Linked DNA regions of Canis lupus familiaris. The protein of the gene in region 2 binds, or shares a complex with, the protein of the main gene of each other region. Links are inferred from orthologs where the notes say so. Each region holds a gene or a part of one and is shown on either strand. Other genes may lie near its edges.

The links. The genes of interacting proteins can lie anywhere in the genome.
Region 1: the proteins of CRHR1 (region 2) and UCN are in contact, whole or in part, in a cryo-EM structure (PDB 6PB0), measured with the Homo sapiens proteins. The link is inferred for Canis lupus familiaris from reciprocal best matches to the Homo sapiens genes CRHR1 and UCN. Residues at the interface, in NP_004373.2 of Homo sapiens: Leu106, Asn107, Glu109, Lys113, His117, Val120, Asn123, Trp169, Val172, Gln173, Ser177, Pro178, His181, Gln182, Thr192, Tyr195, Asn196, His199, Phe203, Phe260, Gly261, Lys262, Pro264, Tyr270, Tyr272, Gln273, Met276, Ile277, Tyr327, Phe330; in NP_003344.1 of Homo sapiens: Asn84, Pro85, Ser86, Leu87, Ser88, Ile89, Asp90, Leu91, Thr92, Phe93, His94, Leu95, Leu96, Arg97, Leu99, Leu100, Glu101, Leu102, Ala103, Arg104, Thr105, Gln106, Gln108, Arg109.
Region 3: the proteins of CRHR1 (region 2) and CRH are in contact, whole or in part, in a cryo-EM structure (PDB 6P9X), measured with the Homo sapiens proteins. The link is inferred for Canis lupus familiaris from reciprocal best matches to the Homo sapiens genes CRHR1 and CRH. Residues at the interface, in NP_004373.2 of Homo sapiens: Lys113, Tyr116, His117, Ala119, Val120, Asn123, Trp169, Val172, Gln173, Met176, Ser177, Pro178, His181, Thr192, Tyr195, Asn196, His199, Phe203, Phe260, Gly261, Lys262, Tyr267, Tyr272, Gln273, Met276, Ile277, Leu280, Tyr327, Phe330, Phe331; in NP_000747.1 of Homo sapiens: Glu156, Pro157, Pro158, Ile159, Ser160, Leu161, Asp162, Leu163, Thr164, Phe165, His166, Leu167, Leu168, Arg169, Glu170, Leu172, Met174, Arg176.

The regions. Positions count from the first base shown.
Region 1 is NC_049238.1:21,343,604-21,347,816, reverse strand, and holds UCN (urocortin), read left to right. Parts: upstream 1-2,027; 5' UTR 2,028-2,526; intron 2,527-2,792; 5' UTR 2,793-2,805; coding exon 2,806-3,186; 3' UTR 3,187-3,346; downstream 3,347-4,213. Other genes in the region: protein Mpv17, read left to right, coding at 684-753; TRIM54 (tripartite motif-containing protein 54), read right to left, coding at 3,844-3,860, 4,163-4,213. UniProt on the Homo sapiens protein: Acts in vitro to stimulate the secretion of adrenocorticotropic hormone (ACTH). Binds with high affinity to CRF receptor types 1, 2-alpha, and 2-beta. Plays a role in the establishment of normal hearing thresholds.
Region 2 is NC_049230.1:17,145,680-17,150,437, reverse strand, and holds part of CRHR1 (corticotropin-releasing factor receptor 1), read right to left. Parts: exon of another isoform or gene 4,246-4,758; intron 3,288-4,245; exon of another isoform or gene 3,230-3,287; intron 2,772-3,229; exon of another isoform or gene 2,086-2,771; coding exon 1,979-2,085; exon of another isoform or gene 1,318-1,978; intron 1,232-1,317; coding exon 1,111-1,231; exon of another isoform or gene 1,104-1,110; intron 871-1,103; coding exon 717-870; intron 459-716; coding exon 398-458; intron 389-397; exon of another isoform or gene 178-388; intron 1-177.
Region 3 is NC_049250.1:16,297,506-16,302,703, reverse strand, and holds CRH (corticoliberin precursor), read left to right. Parts: upstream 1-2,031; 5' UTR 2,032-2,610; intron 2,611-3,367; 5' UTR 3,368-3,381; coding exon 3,382-3,972; 3' UTR 3,973-4,476; downstream 4,477-5,198. UniProt on the Homo sapiens protein: Hormone regulating the release of corticotropin from pituitary gland. Induces NLRP6 in intestinal epithelial cells, hence may influence gut microbiota profile.

The DNA of each region.
Region 1 (4,213 bases), on a different chromosome or scaffold from region 2:
GCAGGGGGGATGGGGGTGGGGCTAGCTTAGACAGGAAGGTATATCCAAGAGCCAAGTAGGAACCTGGGCTGGTGGGTCCACTGCAGACTACTATTTGACCTTAATAATAAAGGCAGTTGCTGAAGCCACAGTAAAAATACAGTGCAACTCAAGAGGAGTAGTTAAAATTGTTGGGAGTGAGGGGACATTGGGAGCAGGGACACTCTTCAGAGGGAACAAAGTCAATATTATGTGAATAGCATAGCTTAAAGGAAGACTTGTAGACCAGATCCTCGACACCAGAGTCCTTGCAACACTCTGAATGTAGAGAGAGGAAAATTTACAATCAAGAGAGGGATATGGCGGGCAGCACATTTTTAGAAGATAAAAATCTCAGCCAGTTCAAAGGTGGACAGAGATGTGTATGCAGCAGGAGCCTGGTCAGGACCAAATAAGAGCCATGCTCAGCGACATGAGGGTGTTCCACTTGTAGGCTCTTGTCCAGGACACAGAGCTCTGGGATGATACCTGACCCCGACCTGCTTGTCCTCTGGCCCGAGCCACACGTCCCTCTGTCCCTCGGGGCTGAAGGAAGGAGACCTCAGTGTGGACGTGCTCAGAAACCAAGCCCTCCTTTCCCAGCTCTGCCCCTTTGCTTGCTCTTCCTCCTCTTTCACCCTGACAATGCCACCTCTGTTCTGCAGGCTGGCTGTCGTCCAGTGTGTTGCTGTCATCTGGAACTCCTACCTGTCATGGAAGGCACACCGGCTCTAGGCCGGCCTCACTCCGGTGTCGGCGCCTGCCGTGCTGCAGCATGACCCCCAGTGTGGCCAGATGGCCTCCTCCAAGTGCTCATGGAGAATGAAAGGCCCTCCATCGGCTTTCCTGGGGTCCCGTTGCCACTCAGAACTTAACAGGCTTAGCACCTGACTCCTTTTGAAATAATTTCAACCTTTATAATGGTCTTATGCCCACCACACAGTAGGCACTCTGTAATTGTGTACAGTCTTGTTAGCTGTAGTTTGTACCTGTATCCCAGCAATGCCACTTGTCCCCACACTTCACAGACACATCTGCTCTCTATAACCTTCCCAGCCCACCTGGAGCTCTGGCTCTTCTGGGGCCCTAAACACTTTATATGGTGCCTCCGGAAATCTGTTATTAAATACATAGTTTGAAACTTGCAGAAATCTATGGGGGCAGTTAGAACTTCTAGAGCTAGAAAGAAGTCTAGAGACAACCAATCCCAATGTTCTCCCACGGATGAGCATGCTGAGGTCCACAGAAGTGAGATGGCAAGTCCACACCACCAACCAGTGGCAGAGTGGAAACTTGAACACACATGTTATAGATGAATGTTTGTATGCCCTCCAGAATTCATCTGTTGCAAACCTAATGCCCAGGGTGATGGCATTAGGCAGTGGGGCCTCTGGGAGGTGATTAGGTCATGAGGGATTCGTGCCCTTTTAAAACAGCCCCAGACAGATCCCTCACCCCTCCCACCATGTGAGGACACACCAAGAAGGAAAAGTTAGTGAATACCACATCTACCAGTGCCATGGGCTTGGACCTCCCAGCTTCTAGAACTGTGAGAAATAAATGATGTTTATAAAATACAGAGTTGATTGTATTTTTGGTATAGCAGCATGAAGAGACTAAGGTTCCCTTACTTCCTACCAAGTGATCTTAACTGGAGGTCAAAGGTACAGTAATACTACTGCTGTGATTCCCAGAAGAAAACTAACTTGGTAAAAACACTACTTTGCAGCAAACTCAGAAGCAGATGGACCTGCCTTTTGTGGTCTGAAAGCCCCCAGAGGCCAGAGGCTCTTTTTAAAATAAATGGTGCCTCAGCCAGACCACCCTAGAATTTAGACCATGGGGCTGGAATAAGCTCAAGAATCCTGGCAGGTGGGCTGCCTCACTGCCTTGCTGCCTCTGGGATGGTAGCAGAGTGGGAGCTGGGAGCCAGCTGTGCTCCGGATTGCCTTAGTTTGCAGAACTGATACTAAGGACTAGGGACTAGGCCTGAGCAGCACAACCTTCTCCCGATGCCTCTGGCCCCTTCTAGAGGCCAAGAGCAGAGTGATCACCACCGACAGCCCTGAGGTCCAGCCTCTCTTCTGTGTGCCATAGAACATCGGCCACCTGACTGGTCTGATAAGGGGGCTGGCCCTAGTCCCTACTGGCTGTCATACGCAGGTAAAGGACTCTCATGGCTCCCAGAGCAATGGTAATGCCCCAGCAGCTTCTCCCGCCCTGAAGGCAGGGGCGCTTGCAGCACTGGCAGCAGGACCCAGAGTGGAGGGTTGTGAGGTGCGCCCCTCTGGGTCTTGCAAGCAAGCGGCCGGACTCCAAGCTGCGGCCGTCACTGCTTCTACAATCAGTACATGTCCCTCGCTGACGTCAGTCCGAGCTGTCCTGGGGCTATATAAGGCTGGCGGCGGTCCCGGGACAGACCCCGTGTTCCCCAAGGCGCCCTCAGCCCACCCGACGGCCGGAGACTGGAGCCCCGTCCTGCAGCGTGAGGACACTCTCCGGCAACCTGTGAGTAGCTGGGAGCATCCAGCCTGACTCCTGAAGCACCAGGACGGCGCTCAGCTCTCCCACCACGACTCGCCCGCCTCAAGGGAGAGAGGGAGGACAGGGTGGCACCGGGCTGGGGCAGCAGCTGGGACTGGAGGGAAGGCTGTGGGCACCAGGCGGCAGCCGCAGGGGCCCGGCCGCGGGGCTGGATGCGCGTGGGAAGGGGAGTGGCGCCACTTGCGACTGCCCGGGACGCACCTCACCCCGCGCTCCCCCTGTCTGTCCAGGGCCGGCGGCACCATGAAGCAGAGGGGACGCGCGGCGCTGCTGATGGCGCTGCTGCTCCTGGCACAGCTGCGCCCGGGGAGCAGCCAATGGAGCCGGGAGGCGGCGGCGGCCGGGGTCCAGGACCCAAGTCTGCGCTGGAACCCCGGGGCGCGGAACCAGGACGGCGGCGCCCGCGCGCTGCTCCTGCTGCTGGCCGAACGCTTCCCGCGCCGCGCGGGGCCGGGCCGGTGGGGATCCCGGACCGCGGGCGAGCGGCCCAGGCGGGACGACCCTCCGCTGTCCATTGATCTCACTTTCCACCTGCTGCGGACCCTGCTGGAGCTGGCGCGGACGCAGAGCCAGCGGGAGCGCGCCGAGCAGAACCGCATCATATTCGAGTCGGTGGGCAAGTGATCGGCGGCGTCTGCAGCCGCGATAACCTCGACCCCGTCCCCTCTCCCCGGGCCCGGACGTGCGCGACTGGAAGTGACCCAGTCCCGCCAGATTAGAGCGGCCCAGGGATGCCCTGAGCACTCTGTGCGTCACCAGTTTTTAATAAAAGTGCTGAAGAGCCTTTGGCCTCGGTTGTGGGGCGCAGGGAACCACAGCAGGGTGGGAGCCCGTGGGAAAGTGCGACCTCCCAGGCCGGCGGGGGGGAACTAGATGCTGGCGCGAGGGCTCGGGCAGAAGGGCCTTCACCCGGGGTCCGCATCTCCATCGTTCCCCCAAGAACTCAGGTGCTGGTGCCGCCGCACCACCCCGACCCTTTTCCCTTGGCACTGAGCTCGCCAAACCGTGCTTGATACCAAGGAGATGCCCCGCAGGGGTCATTCCACTTCCGTCCCTCAAATGGGCCCGGATCCGGAGAAGGGCAGGATGGTGATGGGGTCACTCGGAAGCCGAGACTGAGAGTGAGCAGTGAAAGGAGCTGCGGGTCTGAACACATTAGCCCTTTATTGAGCCCCTCCCCCGCGGCTGGGCGCCGAGCTGGGTGGCGCAGCGGTCTCTGAGCAGGTCCTCCGCGACCCCAGCGCCAGGCCCCGGTGCGCGGGCTCCCCAACAGGGAGCAGCTCAGTGCCCGCCAGTGCCTGGGAAAGAAAGCTCGGTGGGCGGGCGTTCCAGAGGAACAAGGCAGCTCCGAACCCCAGCTCGCCCCTTCTCCCCCAGCCACGTGGCTTTCTCCTCTACCTCCCGACCCAACCTGGTCTCCCAAAGCCCCAGAGGAAAGGCTGGTGGGAAAGAGAGTGTACTTCTGCACGCGCGCTAGGGGGCGCCCCTCCCGCTGGGGGTGGGGAGGCCACCAAAGATCGCTGGTGCCGCAGGGCGGCCTCACTGCAGAGGGGCCCGGGGCGTCGAGCCAGCCCCGCCAGGCCCCTCGGGCCACACTCACCTTCCGGCCCATCCGGCCGCTCTTCCTCCGGCCCTGCGCTGCCCTCTTCCC
Region 2 (4,758 bases):
TTTTTTGCAGGAGGTGGTTTTATAGGATTCCCATTTTACAGATGAGGAAACTGAGGCACACCGTAATAACAAGCCCGGGGTCATATAACTACTTTATGATGGGTCTGTGATTCAGAACCTGGGCCGTCTGACTCCAGAGACTGCCAGTAACCCTTATGCTGTTTGTGAAATCCCAAGACAGATAAGGGAGCCCGGATCCACCTGGCTAGCCAGCTCCACCTCAAGGACAGCACTGCTGGGGACACTCATCGAACCCAGCCCCCAGCACCCTTCCTATATGGACAAAGAAACTGTGGCCCCAACAGGGAAGGTGATGTGGCCCAAGGTCCTTAGGAAGCATCATGCAGAGCTGGGCTGAGAGCCTGTACCTCGGGGCTCAGGGGAGGAGGTGACTTACTTCTCATTGTCGTAGTACAGCTTCCCGATGGCCCAGGCCACGATGATGGGGAAAGGCACACCTGGGGAGAGACTGGCTGTCACAGAGCTCATGGGTGGGAGACACAAGGCCTGGAAGACCCTAGTGCAGCCCAGGGCCTAGAAGTGCGAAGGGGTTCTCCAGGGTAGAGCTCGAACTCACTCATCCGGCATGCTGCACTCCATCCCCAAGTCGGGGCAGACTGCAACTCTCACCCCACCACCCTGACCTGGCCCCGGGCTCTCAGGTCCCTTAGCCAGCTGGCCAGAGTCTGGGTGAGGAGGGGGCGCAGGGCACTCACCCCAGCCGATGCAGATGAACATCCACTTGCGCAGCCGGTCAGTGGAGTAGGTAAGCACAATGGCCGTGTGCAGGTAGCAGCCCTCCCCAAACATCCAGAAGAAGTTGGTCACGTGGAAGTAGTTGTAGGCAGCTGTCACCAACCTGCACCAGCCCTACCACCCCACCCCCACCAGAGATGACACTTAGACTGGGGATGGGGTATGACGGCAGCAGCACCCCACCCTGGGCCTGGGACCTCCTCTTAATAGGATTCCCCCCATTGTCCCCCTCATCCTGCAGGGAGCCACTCCCATTATACTGGGCCTCAAGGCCTGTGCCTGGCCCATTTTCACCAGGGCACAGTCCCACCCAGACCTTCCCTCTGACCCTGTGCCTGCCCCTCCAGGACACACCACATTGCTCTGGTGGACTTCGGGGCTCATGGTGAGCTGGACCACAAACCACGTGGCATTGCGCAGGATGAAGGCCGAGATAAGGTTCCAGTGGATGATGTTTCTCAGGCACCGGATACTCCTGGGAGGCAGCGGGGGAGGGTGGGAGGGTGATGGGAGCAAGGGAGGAAAGAAGAAATGAGGGACAGGCCACCAGCCTCACTCCAATCCAGATGTATGGATGGGGAAACTGAGGACCGGGCTGACTGGCTGAGTCACACTGGGAGGTGACAGCAGAAGCTCTCTTGATGCCCCACAGACCCCTTCCTACCTGAGACGCATCCAGACCTAAGGTCTGGGGCAGAGTCTGCTACATAGCAGATGCTCCAGGGACCAGGGGCTTCTGGCTTACTGGGGACCACCTCCTCCCATAGCACCCCTACTTTCCCTGTAGCTCTAGGGTCCAAAGACATAAAAGGTTTCCAGTGGGATGCCTCTCTCCCAGCGTTCAGGCCTGATACTCAGCTCCTGCTCCCACCCCCATTCCTGGCACAGACCTGCCTGGCACTGCTAGCTGCCTCCTTCCAACCCAAAGGCTCCCCCTTCCAGGCCTCCCAGATGGGTGCATCCATGCGTGGGTGGGGGTGGCACAAGGCAAGCCTGGGCTTCAGCCATCACTGGTCCCCCCAGTAGTTACTGGGCTGGGTGGGGGGCAGAAATGGCCCTGCCAGAGGTTCCAAGAGACCTGGAGCTCCTATGTCTGTCCCCCTCCCACAGAGGTGAGGGGGCAGGGGCCCGTCTTGCCAGCAGCCCCTCCCCCAGGGCTGCTTCCTGTGTCTCACTTTTCTACCCTGCTCAAGGCCAGAGGCCAACACTGAGTCTTTCTCACCTGAGCCGCAGAAAGAGGACAAAGGCCACCAGGAGGGCCACCAGGGAGATGCAGTGGCCCAGGTAGTTGATGATGACAGCGACATGGTAGTGTACCTTGCTCTTCTTCTGAAGTAGGGGAGAGGAACAGAGGTGAGGCTCCTATATAGCTGCACCCCTGCACCCGCTCGCCATGTAAGGACACCCCCCTCAGCTGGTGGAGATGGAGTTGGTACTAACGGTAGTTATTCCCCTTCCCGAACCCGGGCTGGGTGTCGAGCATGGCCCTGGAGTGGGGCTGTCCAACTTGAGCCTGTGTCTGTCTCTGAATCCCATGCTCTGCCCATTGCTCCATGCGGTTGGACAAATACCAGCTAACTCGGGTCTCCACGTCCCACGGGGTTCCCTACTCCACGTGCACAAAGGTGTGTGCACGCTTCTTACATGCAAGTTTCTGCTCTGCCCAAATACCACATGGCCCTCGTGACCGCGGACACCAACCCTTTAGGACTCTTTTCCTCACTCACTTCCGAGTGGAACCACTAGGGATGATTACCCCCAAATCCCTCCTGCTGCAGTGGGAGCCTGCTCCTATCAGCCATGGGAGGGATGGCAGGTGCACCCACAGAGCCATTACAGGCCATAAAAAAAAAATCTCTCTTCGCTCTGTAACTCACTTTCCAGGCCCTGCCCCCTGGCCCTGGGGAAGAAATGGGCTCCCTTCCCAGGATTGTATCAAAGTCCCCGATGTTACCACTGCCTTCATTTCATAGACTAAAGGAAGCTGAGAGATGTGGTGGTCTCCTGTTTCCAAGGTAAGCTCCATAAAATGATGAAGCCTTTCCATGTACAGGGTATTTTCATACTGGTGGTCTTCTCAACCTGTCAAGGCCACCATGTAGGAGGACCTGGAAGAGGGTCTATACCTTATTTTGCAGAAAACCAGGCACAAAAGTATGTTGACTCATTCAAGGTCCCTCAAACTCAAACCACCTCTGGACCAGCACAGGCAGACCGGCAAGGTGTCTCCTACCCCATAATGGGGGACCGATGGTCCCCAGTGCCCAGCTCTATGCAGACTCCTGTCCTCCAGTATCAAAGCCTCCCTCCACCCTATCCTAGGTCCCGAGAGGGCAGGGCCCAGGGACCCAGGGTCTGGCACAGCAGAGCTCCGTAACTGTGTGTTGTGTGAAGGAAGCAAAAAGCAACCTGCTTTGCAAAGGGGGTGTGTACGGGGGTCCTTGTTAGCACCTCCTCCCCTTATTCTTTCCAGGTTCTGGAGTGGGGCCAGGCCATGAGTCACACAGAAACTGGCTAGTGTTGAGAAAAGGGTAAGTTCTTGAAGGCCTTGTTCAAACTTTCAGAGATACCAAAGAATGCCTGGCTCTCCCTAGACCTTCCTGTCAGAATTCCAGAATCTGTGGATGTCAGAGCTGGTCCTAAGCATCGAGTCCAATCCTACTCTTCTTCTAGATGAGGAAACTGAGGCCCCAACTCACTCACCCAAGATCAAAAGATGTACCTCTGCAGCAGGACACCTAGCAGGCATCGGAGAGGAGTCCAAGCCCTCCCTTCCCCGCTCTTCCGAGTGCCCAGCACAGGGCCCTCCTGCAGGCACATCCTCACTGAAGAACCTCCGAGGTTCTGGAAGGCCCAGGGAGCTCTGTTCTAAGGGGCTGATTTTCCTGGCAGAGGCTTTCAGGAACGTGGCAGGAAATCACATTAGCAACTCTGCGCTCAGAAGGGTTGAGACTCACTGAGGTGTAAATGAAGACAGAGAAGCAGGGGAGAGAGAGGGAGAGAGAGAGGGAGGGAGGGGAGCAGAGGGTACCCATCGCCACCGTGCAGATGGGAAGGGTCTCGGAGTGCCTGGCAGTAGATGCCAAATCCAAAGACTCCAGGAGATATGAACACATCCAGCCTGTCTGGGAGCTGCTACTTAATTTCCTTTCATTAGATTTCCCACAAATCCATGCTGTGGAGCTCCTGAGTAATAACGATGCCTGGGAGCTAAAGGGCGTGACGCCCCAGCTTTGTCTGCAGGCCCAGGTGGGCAAGACGAGCGGGGTGTGTGGGGAACCCCTTCACCACCACGTGCCATCAGCTACCCCCTGCCCGCCGCGACCCTGCTGCAGGCTGAGCCTGGGTCATTGGGTTTGAGGCAGGATGAGTGGGGTTTATTAAGCACCTACTGTATGCTGGGCACTGTGCCGGGTGCTTTATAGATGCTACAGCTTTCCTTTCTCACAATAGCCCTCAGAGACTGTCCTTCTGTCTCTGTTTTTCCAGTTGAAGAGGCTGCATAATTAGCCCGAGCTGCCCGGCCAGCAATGGGAATCCAGGTCTGCTTGGCCTTCTAGATCCCCTCCTCCCCAGTGCATTTCTAGGAGACAAACGGGCTGAGAACAGGCACTCTCACTGTCTGGGGCCCAGGATCCTCAGAGGGCTTCTGCAGGGAGGATGGGGGCTGGTGAAGGGTTTTCTCCACCAAGGCTGAAAGGGGAGAACTGGGCCAAAGCATTCAGGGGGCTGCTTCTGTGTGACTCCTCCAGCTGGAAGGCCCTGGCTGGTCGGAGCCCTGGGGCAGTCTGAGAGATGGCAACCAGCCACAGTGTTACAGTGCAGAGAGCCCAAGACAGCATGGTCACCCCAGGAGACAGCCAGCTACACTCAGGAGATAGCCTGACACCCTTCGAGACGGTCAGCAATAGCCTGAGATGTGGCCAATGACACCCAGAGAGAGCAGCCAGCAATATCCTAAGAGGCACCCAGTGATACTCCAAGAGACCCTACTGATGGCCT
Region 3 (5,198 bases), on a different chromosome or scaffold from region 2:
TCTAGGGCTGGGTGTGTGAATGTGTTGCTCTAACTTCATCTTCTCACTTCTATTTGTGTGTCTCTGCTAGGAAAGGGGGGAAGTTCAAAGGGCATTGTTATATTATAGAAATAATGCAGGCTGCTAGTCAAAAGCACTGGATTCTAATTTTGACTTTACCATTAACTAGGTAAGTCACTTTTCCTCTCTGGTTGTCATTCAAACCAAATGATCCATTTAAGACTTTCCTAATGTAAATGCTCAGTGATTTGAAGAGATCTTACTTTTAGATAAATCGTGGTAAGGGCTGCTGTACACTGTTCTTCTTCCTCTGGGACCCAGGCCTTTTGTCCTCACCCCTATTCAGAGCCACTTTTTCTAACTAACTACATACTCCAGGAAAATCTCACAGCAAAAATTCAACAGTGATGAGGGAGGTAGACTAAAACAACACTCCACATGGCCCACAGGAGAGAGACCTGAAAGGGTGTAGGGTTAGAGTCCAAAATATTCATCTTCTCTGGAGAAACTCTTATGCCTTCCCAGCTAAACTTACAGTCTTATCCCTTTCCTAGTTGTTCTTCTGTATCCAGTTTCCTGAATGTCTTCCAAATCTCCTTCCACCTCCAGATTGACATCTAACTGGATTCTGCCAGTTGGGACAGTGAAGGGGCGATAAAGGAAAGTAAGCAGAGGAAGTTAAGATCCATTCAAAGGGGAAAAAAAGCTCACAAAAACCTCCAAGTTTCTCTGTGTCCCCTATCAACATAAAACACTGCTTTCCTGTAGAAGCTTAACCATTTTCTATAATTTTGATCTTCTATTAACAACCTACATGTTTCCCAGAAGACACATTTCTTTGTTCTCTTATGTACATTTCATCTCAAAGTATATTCCATAGCACAATGATCCAACTATGGGGTGGATTCTCTGGAAACTGCCAGCATTTCTCTTTCTACCTTCCTTTTGTTTCTAAAAGCAGTTTTGGATTAGTATAGATCCAAAATAGGAGTAGAAATGTGTGTTGTATCATTTATCATATAGCTACAAAGGAAGCAGCAGAGCTAACCAGAAATGAGCAATAGGAGATTTCTGATAAACAGCTTTGATGGTTATCTAGAAGCTGAATTAAATCACAGACACCAGAGTTTGGAATTGCATTTAGAAACGCAAAATTAGAGGTAACTACCTCCTACTTATATGATAGTGTCAATTTAATTTGAAATTTGAGTATTGGTTTACAAGCCTAGCATTCCATTTTGTGGTAATGCAGAGAGCATTTATGTATTTATCAGGTTTCCTGATAAGAAACAATAAAAAAAAAAAAACTCTGGGTGTCCCTGATGTGGATACTATAATGGATGTTGATAGTATTTAGGAGTAAAATGAATGAGATTATCTTTTTATGGGCTTGATATTCATCAATGAAAATATGCAACTGATGAATTTGGCACTGTTATCAGGCAGTTTAAGCCTTTCCCAATATAGGATAAGTTAGAATAGATGCTTCTCTCACTGTGTTTCCATCAAGTAGACCATGAAGATGTATAGCTCATGCACCTCTCACTTATCCTTTCTCTCTCTAATTTGGGAATAGAAAAATCCACAATTAATTTTGGATTCTGACAGGAGAGACCAAGGAAGGGCAGTGAAGTTTGGGGGGGAATTTAAAATCTTCCTGCATTCCCAACTGACCCTGGTTTGGGCCATTTCATCATGGAAGCAGGCTCCTGCCAACCATTTAAAAAACTTGAGCCTCATTTCAAGAGACTTATTGGTCTTGCTTCTGTAGACTAATAATTCTTTTATTTGTTCTTGGGAAGAAAAAGCAGGTAGAAGCTTAAAAACTAGATATCCCTGCACTTCTATCTCCTTGTTCATCATTCTTAACCAGGCAGAAAGGTGATGGGACACTTGTCTCTAGAAAAGGGATATTTTCAGACACTGAGGTGTTGCCAGAGACAACTGGTCAGAGAAGTTAGAAGGGAGAGGAAAGAGGAGAATCCAGATCCAGCCCTTAGAATTGGTTGCTGCTTTCCTCATAGGACTGTGGATTAATTGACCTCCTGTCCCTTACACTTTCTTTCCCCCTCCCCTCTCATTTGATGCTCTTTCTGACTCCAAATTTGACCTTTCCTAGTAAGAGGTCAGTATGTTTTTACATTTGGGAAATCTCATTCAAGAATTTTTGTCAATGGACAAGTCATAAGAAGCCCTTCCATTTTAGGGCTCGTTGACGTCACCAAGGAGGCGATAAATATCTGTTGATATAATTGGATGTGAGATTCAGTGTTGAGATAGCAAAACTCTGCCCCTCGTTCTCTGGCAGGGCCCTATGATTTATGCAGGAGCAGAGGCAGCACGCAATCGAGCTGTCAAGAGAGCGTCAGCTTATTAGGCAAATGCTGCGTGGTTTCTGAAGAGGGTCGACGCTATAAAATCCCACTCCAGGCTCTGGTGTGGAGAAACTCAGAGCCCAAGTCCGTTGAGAGACTGAAGAGAAAGATAAGAGGGGAAGAAAAAAAGTGAGGACAGAAAGGAGAAGGGAAGAAAGCCCCTGAAAAAGCCCCGGAGACGTTCCTCTGCTGAGAGGCGGCAGCGCCCCACTCACCTGCAGAAGCACCTCAGAAGGTAGGGAGCGCCTAGACGGAACCGCGCCTCCAACTTTGCGTTGCCTGAGCTGCCATGGTGTGCGCGGCAGAGCCGGGTGTCCCTGTGAGGGCATATGTGTGAGTGTGAGTGTGTGTGCATGTGTGTGTTTGCTGACTGTGCCTCAGGATGCCGGTAGTAGCCGGGATGTGTCAAAAGCAAACTTAGACGGCTGCTAATCGTTATTGGAACTGTCAGTTACTCCTCGCTGGCTTTGTAGATGAGTCCCCGCCATCGATCCCGACCCCTGAGAGAAGGACACAAAGGGCTGGGATGGAGAAAGGGGAGGAGGAGGCAGCAGTTCTCAATTTGGAGGACAACGCCGAAACACCCGGAAAGAGGGGCGGTTATTACAGTGGGTGAGATCTAAAATGTGTAGATCTTCTCTAGAGCTCGGGGAATCCGTTTTGGGGATCGTTAGAAAGGGGACCCAGAGACCCTTCGAGGATTCGGAAGAAGGGTCACTCCAGCCTAGCGAGGGGCTGAGCTTTGGTGCTAAGCTGTAGGCGTCCCCTTGCCTGCCCCCCCCCCCCCCGCCCCCACGGCAACTCCAACTCTAGACGTCCTGGTTCGAGAGCTTCAGCACCGCGGACAGTGCCTGCCCGAACCCCGAGGCGCGTCCACCCGCGTCCTGTAGGAAGACCCCGAGCGCGCCTCCCTTTTGAGCTGAACTCTGACCAACTCTTTCTTTCTCTCTTCCCTTCTCTCATTCCGCTCTCCGCCCACCTCTGTGCCGCAGCGAGTGCCCTTAACATGCGGCTGCCCCTGCTCCTGTCCGCGGGCGTCCTGCTGGTGGCTCTCCTGCCCTGCCCACCATGCAGGGCCCTGCTCAGCCGGGGGCCCATTCCGGGCGCCCGGCAGGCTGCGCAGCACCCCCAGCCCCTGGATTTCTTCCAGCTGCCGCCGCAGCCCCAGCAGCCCCAACAGCCGCAGGCTCGGCCCGTCCTGCTCCGCATGGGGGAGGAGTATTTCCTCCGCCTGGGTAACCTCAACAAGAGCCCCGCTGCTCCCCTCCTGCCCGCCTCTTCACCTGTCGCTGGCGGCAGCGGCAGCCGCCTTTCGCCGGACGAGGCGGCCGCCAACTTTTTCCGCGCGTTGCTGCAGCAGCTGCCGCTGCCCCGCCGCCAGCTCGACAGCCCCGCTGGTCCCGCCGAGCGCGGGGAGGAGAACGCCCTCGGCAGCCGCCAAGAGACCCCGGAGAGGGAGAGACGATCCGAGGAACCTCCCATCTCGCTGGATCTCACCTTCCACCTCCTCCGAGAAGTCTTGGAAATGGCCAGGGCCGAGCAGTTAGCGCAGCAAGCTCACAGCAACAGGAAACTGATGGAGATTATTGGGAAATAAAACGGTGCGTTTGGCCAAAAAGATGCAGCATTTAGCACACACACACAAAAAAAATTAAAATAATACAGTATTCTGTACCATATCGTTGCTCTGATACCATTTGTTTATTTTTTTAAAGCTTGAAGCCTAGACGATGTACAGCAAGAGAGCCTATACTCCTTAATTAGCATGCACAAAGTGTATCCACGTGCAGTAACAGCAACAAAATGTTATTTCTATTGTCTACTTTCAGTTTCCATTTCCAGGTGTCTTTAATGGTGTTTGAAAAGTATAGACCCAGAAGGAAATGTTTTGAAGCAGACAAAAGTTACCCGATTTATTTTGTTGTGGTCTGAGCCAAAGAGAATGTCATTCTCTTGGGTGGGTGAAACAAAATCTGTAAGCTCTTTGAATCAACCTTCCTGTAAAAGTTCCAGTAATAAAACATCTTTCCAATCCTTGGTCAATTTGGTTGTGTAAGACAATGTTGAATATTTATATTTTTAATAAAAGCTGCAAAGGTAATCATGACCTTATTTTTCCTTTTTAATGTTCATAGGAGTAAAACTCTCAGCTCCTGGCTTCCTACATGCTGACTTCAGCACAAGAGAAAACAAAACTCCTTGCATTAATTTCCTACTAAAAATACAAACATATGCAAGTGGCTTACACAGATACTTCAATTGCCTTGGACTCATCTTTGTACCTCAGTTACTCCTCTGAGGTTAAGTTAAATAGTTTGGGAAGTTTCTTCCCGCTTTAAGACTTGGTAATTCTATGAATGGAAGATAAATTCATAATGGAAATAACACTTAACCCTGATTATTATAAGAGGGTAAATAACTGGAGAGGGCGGGGACAGAGGAAAGGCAAAGAGAGGGGTTCGCAGAGCATTCCTCTAAACTGTAGGGCCAACATACTGTTTGTTTTTGTTTTAGGTTTGAGAAAGACTCACTTTATCAAGCTACTACTTTGGTACTGTAAAATATACTTTTTCTGTGCTATTTTCCAGTGCCTACTTCTTAATAGGAGAAACTTGATAGCTTCCCACTTCAAGCAACAAATTTAATTGCTATGAAATGGCACTTGGGAAAATGTTAAACATAAAAAATATTTGACTTTAATAACTTTGCAAATGGTCTTCTCATTTATTTCTATATGAATCCTAATCACTGTTATTCTTAAGAATATTAACTATCTCCATGCATTTCTAAAATGGAACAGGCACATCCAATGAGTTTTACCAT